Nothobranchius furzeri: one gene and its partner. Each later gene encodes a partner of the first gene's protein in a complex. Links are inferred from orthologs where the notes say so. Each region holds a gene or a part of one and is shown in the gene's direction. Other genes may lie near its edges.

The links. The genes of interacting proteins can lie anywhere in the genome.
Region 2: the proteins of fuz (region 1) and cplane2 are in contact, whole or in part, in a cryo-EM structure (PDB 7Q3E), measured with the Mus musculus proteins. The link is inferred for Nothobranchius furzeri from reciprocal best matches to the Homo sapiens genes FUZ and CPLANE2. Residues at the interface, in NP_081652.2 of Mus musculus: Arg26, Arg35, Ile109, Val110, Lys126, Glu127, Arg129, Ala130, Tyr132, Cys133, Asp136, Gln215, Ala216, Ala217, Arg218, Asp219, Tyr220, Pro221, Tyr223, Pro232, Leu238, Thr239, Leu240, Leu241, Arg242, Pro255, Leu256, Gly257, Gln258, Pro261; in NP_001074643.1 of Mus musculus: Glu36, Gly38, Leu39, Leu40, Glu41, Arg42, Val83, His84, His85, Glu86, Thr88, Gly89, Ile90, Gln91, Thr92, Thr93, Val94, Lys124, Phe125, Met128, Glu134.

What each region holds. Positions count from the first base shown.
Region 1 is NC_091751.1:48,625,616-48,628,899, forward strand, and holds fuz (protein fuzzy homolog), read left to right. Parts: upstream 1-1,223; 5' UTR 1,224-1,370; coding exon 1,371-2,639; 3' UTR 2,640-2,784; downstream 2,785-3,284. UniProt on the Homo sapiens protein: Probable planar cell polarity effector involved in cilium biogenesis. May regulate protein and membrane transport to the cilium.
Region 2 is NC_091743.1:65,229,379-65,233,522, forward strand, and holds cplane2 (ciliogenesis and planar polarity effector 2), read left to right. Parts: upstream 1-1,344; 5' UTR 1,345-1,561; coding exon 1,562-1,691; intron 1,692-2,593; coding exon 2,594-2,746; intron 2,747-2,812; coding exon 2,813-2,937; intron 2,938-3,379; coding exon 3,380-3,519; intron 3,520-3,632; coding exon 3,633-3,858; 3' UTR 3,859-3,946; downstream 3,947-4,144. Other genes in the region: heat shock protein beta-7, read left to right, coding at 161-257, 379-512, 666-791, 868-873. UniProt on the Homo sapiens protein: Required for efficient primary cilia initiation, regulating a late step in cilia initiation. Plays a role in the final maturation of the mother centriole and ciliary vesicle that allows extension of the ciliary axoneme.

The sequences.
Region 1 (3,284 bases):
ACAAAACCAGTTTTTAACAGACAAGCTTTTATTCTTGTGAGTAATGTACATGTTCCAAATATAACAAGTATGTGGTGAGAAATTGTGCTTAAAAATGAGGGACTGTGCAAGTATCTGCTTGTTCGAGAGTTTATGGGGATTTTGGGAGTCTCATAATTACAAATCAAAATATTTTTCAGACCACCTAATTTGGAGAAAATGTAAGAGGGGATAATGTTTCAATCTGGAGACAACAGATTACCTGTTCTACGAATGTGACGCTGTCTTACAGTTGTGAAAATCTCCACGAGTCAATGTCCTCCATTTTTAGTAATGTTGCCTTTTGGTCCTCTCAGAATATTCAATTTGGTGTAAGTTTATGAAATAAAAATACAGAATTGTTGGTTAACAATCTTATTATATACACAAAATATGATATACATACATTATGCTAAGTCTGCCCCCTCATGGGTTGCTCTTAAAAAGGATTTCTCCTTATTGCAAAAATCTTTGAAACTGTTGGAAAGCCCCTTTGCTGCTAGACTGCATACCTTCTTGATCAGCTTAATTTTTCTTAAATTTATTGAATCACTTTTGCATAAGAAAATAGATCCTCTTTGAGATTGGTTTAGATTTACTTTTTCTTCTATTTTGTTCCCCTTCTGTTCCTTTTATTACTTTTTGTATAATTGATTAATATAGCTGACACACTAAGGTCCTCTTTTATTTAATTTTTTTATAACTTGTAACCGAATTGATTAAAGCTGTTTTATTTTTTATAGGAAACCTTCCTTTTCCAAACAAAGTCCAGTAGCATTCTTTCAATATTTTTAAGAGCGTTATCCACGTGTCATCCAGCATCATCTTGCCAAGTTTGACTCTCGCGAGATGTGAACCAATGGGTGTCAGATCCATGAGAGTAGAGCGGCGCATCCGGGAGTTCCGGGGACTGAACCCAGGTCTGTCTCCGCGTCCTGCTCTCTCAGCGGTTCAAGCAAAGCTCGTAACTAGTAACTGAAGCTCGACCAGCCAAATGAGCCCACATTCAGCGGTGTGCGAAGGATGAATCATGGGACAGCGTTACTGTGGAAACGACGGTAACCTCTTTTGTTAACCTAGCATGGTTAAAACAGCTAGAAAGAAACAGCTAGTTGAAAAAGCGGCGGCTGGTGGTTAGTGCGTTTATTTAATTTAGGATAAATATATTTTTTTCTGCCTGGTATTTCGCCTAGTTGGTGGTTCAGTGATTATATGACGCTAACGGCTAACGGTGTAGCTGATGCAACGTTGGGAGTTTTTACCTCCCGGTTCGTCGTTACACAATTGGCTCAATCAAAGCTCATTAATCTGATCCTGCGGTTTTCTGAGCGGGGAGAACAACACGCTCGAACATGATGATGCTCCAGGACGGTTCGACCCAGCTCATCTGCCTCACCGCCAGCAGCGGGGTTCCTCTTTTCACTAGAGGGGCCTCCAGACAGCTGCCTTTCTCTGTCATCGGCTCCTTGAACGGCGTTCACATGTTCGGGGGAGGACAGGGAGTGGTGTTGTCCAGCTGCGACACGGACGGTGGAGGGAAGGTGGTGTGGAGAGTTTTCCTCGACAGCGTGATGCTCATCGCTGTGAGTGGAGGTGGACCGAGTGGGTCATGCGGCACAGAGGAGGAGACCCGCCTGCAGCGCCTCCTAGAAAACGTTTGGAGCTGCATGGTGCTGGTGTTGGGGCAGGATGAGCTGACTAATGTCAGGAATGTAGAAAGACTGAAGAGGGATTTGAGGTCCTGCTTCAGCCTGATTGATCAGCTGCTTGAAGAGAAACAAGGTTATCTTGGAAACCTTACACACTGTGCTGATTCATTACTACCTTCAAGCTCCATTCTTCTCCAAGAGGCGGTGGATGGGTTTGCTCAGGCTGCTGACAGTGAGTTTGGTTGCCTGGTGGTCCACGGGCGGATTGCTACAGCGACTGAAGAGTGGTGGCGGCAGCTGGTGCCACAGGAAATCGTGCTGCTTTCTGCTCTGATTCGTACCTTATCTGCATCTGGATCAGCCTCATGTGATTACCCAGTTTTTCTCCCTCAGTTTAGCCCCACCGTCGCCCACCGCTTGCTCCGCTTCCAGCTACTCCCAGGAGCAGACGTGTGTGTGCTGTGTGGTTCCACGCCATCCCTTCACAAAGCTGGAACTGAGCTGGTGGGTCGTTTCTGGTCACCCCTGGTAGAAACCCTGAGAAATTGCCTGGCTCTTGGAGACCGCTGCTTACCCGGATCCATATCGCTGAGGCCTGACGTACTGGCTCTTCTGCTCATCAACCGTGAAACTCGTCGTTCAGTCTCATGTTTGCAGAATTCATCCCATCACCCCCCTATACTCTCCAAAGCTCGCTGCTGGGAGCTGCTGAAACTCTTCTATACATTCAGCATTTCACGCTACTTCACCCAGGAGGAGAGGACTCAGAGAGACATCACAGAAGACTTTCTCCTTGGATTCTCCCACCAGCCCCAACAGTGTTATTTAGTTACAGAAGAATGCAAATGCTATGCATTGCAGACACCACAGCACCAGCTCTATCTTCTCGTGATGCCATCTGTGCCCACCTTTGCACTGGGCACATTGGCTACACAGACTCTCTCTGATATTGTTGCACCCACAGGTTTTTAATACATATCCATTGCAACTTTTCAATCTCATGTTGGTCACTTGAAATGTGAATTTATGTTATAGTCTTACAAAAATAATCACACAAAAAGGGGATCCAATAGAAAAAAATGCTATTTTTCCTCTGAGTATATAGAAACTCAATTATTAACTTTTTCTAAAATATTTTTTACGTAGCTGCTTACAGTTGTAGAGCAGACATTAGAACAAATGCTTTTTTTTTTAGAATTAAGATTGTTGCACATTTGTGTTGAGCCTCTAAGCTGCTTCTGTTGTATGAATAAAAGCTGGTCACACTTGCCTGCAAATTAATAATGTGTCACACTAGATAAAAAAATTAATTAATGTTTTTTATTCTTTTTTGTTTAAGTAATCTCTTTTCTTTATAACATTATTATTATGATCTTGTTATTATATAATTGTCTTGCTACATGTTTCTTCATAAGCATGCATGAAACAAATGAGTCCATCATGCATCAGGAAGACATGACGAAAGTTTCAGCATGCCGTTTGACTCCTACATGCGTGAGAATGAGGAAACAGTTTAGCAGAAGCCATGCAACATTTTTCTCAGCTGCATTATTTAAAAAAGCTGTTCACAATTTAAAGTTATGGACCAAATATTTATAAATTCAACACATTTATGCA
Region 2 (4,144 bases), on another chromosome or scaffold:
ATTAAATATCTATAATGTGTGTCATATTCCAGCGTATCTTAGAGACCAAATTACACACACACACAAACACCCACACAGTCTCCAAGTGGTCTGATAAAGACTCATATGCGGACGGTTGTGACACAGGGGAGGAAGGTTTTTGGTGATTAAAGACAGAGAAATGCTGACCTTAGTCTGCATGGAGGAGGGTCAAAGGAATTGCTCTGAAGATTCAGGATGTTCACCTCTGCCTGGGACCGAAGAACACAAGTTTACAGGTCAGCCCAATAAAAACTGGGGAAAAAGTTGTTTTCTTGTTTTAAATAGTGATGCATTAAATATTTTACCTGGTTACAAACAGCAAAATTTAATATTTTATACTATCATTAACTGTTTCAGGTCACTCATCCCCGACAGGAAAGATACAGGTCATTGGTGACATCTTCCAGTTCACTTTGGATGTGAGTGAATTTTCTCCAGAGGAAGTTATTGTCATAACCTCTAATAATCTACTAGAGGTCCAGGCTGATAAGGTGAATCATGAATTGCAGAAATTGTCATGACACATATTATGGAGATATAAAAAACATGACATATTTATATGAAATATGTTTTCTATTGTTTCCCCTCTTTATCTGTACAGTAACAGTTATTCAAGAACATTTATACTGATGTTTTGAATGCAGGTGGGTGAAGGTGGCACAGTCACCAAAGCACTTTCACACAAATGCAAACTGCCATCAAATGTGGACCCCTTCTCTGTGAGCACGTCCATGAGCAGCAGTGGGGTTCTGATTGTGAAAGCTCAAAAGGTAACTTATCGCCGCTTTTCACTGACTTTTACACGAAGTATGCATTTTCTCTAATTCATTGTTGCTCTGTCTACAGATGTGACCTCAGAGTTTGGAGAAAAGCAGTGGACTTTGTCGGCCTCAAGCGGTGGATAAATGAACTTCTGGATGCAACGTTCATGGAACATTTACGAAAAACTCGAAATTCTCAGCTAAAACACTAACTGTACTTAAAAATGTCAAAAACCGCAAGCAATAATTAAATTGATCTACTTTTATTATTGTGCTGGATAAAATTTGAGAATTAAATGTACCCTTTCCAAATGTGCTTAAATAAAGAAATCTAATTAAACATTTTTAGAAAATTTGACAAGATTTTGCTGTTAACTTTTTTGAAAATATAAAAAATGTCGGTTACAGTGAATTCATATTTTTACATACTTTGTAAATGTTTTAGTAATAGAATTTCTGATGTAAGTTTTTTAAATTTGTTCCAAAAAGTACACGAGGGTGGTACGATTTATATTTAGTCATGGCGATTTCGACAGCCTGTGAATACAACCTTTGAAAAGTGGCGGAAGTGACGTACTAGTTGTCAAGGCACGGTTTTTAGTTTACGGAAAAATAGCTTAATTGCTACTTGTTTTAGCAAAACACTGCGGTTTTTGTTGACTTACTTTTCATTGTGACGCGAATGTTCATTATATTTAGCTTTAGAAGACAGTATAGACAGTTTTCTTAACTTCAACGAGCCGCTGGCTGCTTTGTTTATAAAGTTTTGTGATGTTAGCATGTTTGATGTTAGCATCATGGCACAAGTTCCCCAACCAGGATCGGTTATTGTCTCTGATTGGCACCGATGTAAAGAAAGCAAAGAATATTTCAACAAAATTCTACACAAGACGAAACGAAAGAACTTTGGTAATGCCTATCTAACTTTCCTTTTAGTTTCTTTAAAAAACGCGACGCTATTTATTGTGGCTGAAAGCTAAAATTTGGTTTGTAAATAATAAAAACAGAGTAAATAAATGTTTAATGCAACATGATGCAGTTCTGACAGATACCTGCATAATAGTTTTAGTTTGGATTGTCAGGAAATGGAAAGTTGAAAAAATGAATTGTTTATTTTCTCACACAACGTGGGTTTATAAACCAAAGCAAGGTGATTTGTACATGAAATGATATCATGCAGCAGAGATCCAGGCATGGTGGTTTCAAATATAAGTGTCAGTTATTACTATCAATCATTAGTCATTTATTTTTCTATTTTTTTCTCCTAATTGCTGATTTTTTTCCCCAAATTTGACTTACCCTCTTCCAGATTAAAACAATATAAATATTAGACGCCTTAAAGATTCAGAATGACATTTGGGAGCAATTGATTATACCTCAGATTTCTTTAAAATGTTCCCATGATAAATTAAATTTGTATGAAAAGCAGGTCGTCAGACCTATAAAAAATTGTTAAACGTAAATTTTTACTTTAAAGAAAAAAGCATATTTAGTCAAAATGAAATCATGGTTGGATTATGTGTTTAAGGTAGATTATCAATTCAAACACAAAAAGTAAACAGATCTAGAAAGTTGGTGTGTTTGTCATTTAATCAAAATGAAAAGCATTTTCATCTTAAAGAAAAGGAACAAATCTGCATTTTTATTTAACTATTTCTCTGATCTGATTTCTCAAAACACAACAGGCTAAAAGGAGTTGATCATTGTCTAATTGTTTGCTTAGTATGAAGCTTTCTGGTTAAATTATATGAAACTGTGAGATATATTAGAGGGAAAAGAAAATAAGATAAATCATTAAAAATGTTGTACAGGTCTGCTGGAGTCTCCGGTGATGGCTCCACACGTAGCTGTGGACACATTTCCTTATAAGATCTTCATTTCCGGTAAGAGTGGAGTTGGAAAAACTGCGTTTGCTGCACGTCTCGCTGGCCTGAGCATTCCTAACGTGCACCATGAAACCACAGGTAGGTTCAACCACCAGCTGAGGTAATTTTAATGGAATCAGTTATCTGATGTTTTGTGTGTTCAAGGTATCGAGACGACGGTGGTGTATTGGCCAGTGAAGCTGAGAGAAAACGGCAGGGTGCTTTTTTTCCGTCTGCAGTTTTGGGACTGTGGAGAGAACGCCTTACGCAGATTTGATCATCTGCTTCCAGTAAGTGAAGTTATAAACACTGTTGCTGTTTTTGTATAGTTCCATAGAAAGCCCCTTTCTTGTCTAGCTGACCTCCATCCCTGTTTTTGTAGGGGTCATAATCCCACTGGTACACTGCAAAAATGACTGATTCAGTAGGTTTAACTTGGTTTATATAACTTGATCTTAGAAAAATGGTACAACACCATGACCCATGAAGTCTTCCCATACTTTAGTTTTCATAACCAAAATCTGCCCACTTGACATGGCTCATTTTTATTGGATCAGTACAAGATAATGTGTATGACATGACAGCATGTCATATCCTAAACTATATGTAAAGTTGTGAATATCAAACTCCAACCTCATAAAAGGAAATTTTAATCTCCACTTGGCTGCCGCACTAGTCGTGACCCAGTTCAGCATTCTAAAATTACACTAACATTTCCCCCCTTTTTTGCAGTCTTGTAAGGAGCAGGTGGACGCGGTCCTGTTCCTTTTTTCCTTCACCGACAGGACATCCTTTGATGATTTATCAAGTCAGATCTCTAAATGGAATGAGCCATCTTTTGGTCGTGTTGTCAAAGTGGTGATTGGCACCAAGTATCCTTTGCATTTAAAATGTCTAGACATTTGAAAATCAGTATTTTGCATCTAAGAGACAAAACCAAACCTTTAAGGTTACTTGGTTTTTTGTTCCTTAATGCTTCCCTTAGATTTGACCTTTTCATGCACTGTGACGTGGCAGAGAGGGACGTCGGGAAGTTTGAGGAGACGTGGAGGTTACCGGTGCTGTGTACGGGCGGTGGAGAGGCCGGCACTGGGCTGTGTGATGTAGCGCCCATCCTGAACTGCCTGGCAGAGAACTTGTGGCATCAGGACTGCATTACATCTGGAGCAGCCCATCAGGAGCTGGAGTCAGAGAACGCGACTCTGCTTTAAGTGTTTGTCATGTTATAAAGCTGTGACGTGATTCAAGTGGCAAATAGAGCAGACAAAGATTCTGTATTTACAGACTGGGGGGGGGGGGGGGGGGATTAAACACGTTTCAGTCACTTAGGAAGGTTCTACTGAAACATGTTTCATATCCAGCTGGCTGCAGGGATCATCAGTTTTTCTTTCAGAAGGCGGACATAAACTGTTTATCATAAGTGTGGGGGTGCTTTGTCTCCTGTGCGCTAATGCAACAGCACCGACAATTGTAATTTGATGGCCGGGAAAAAGCTCC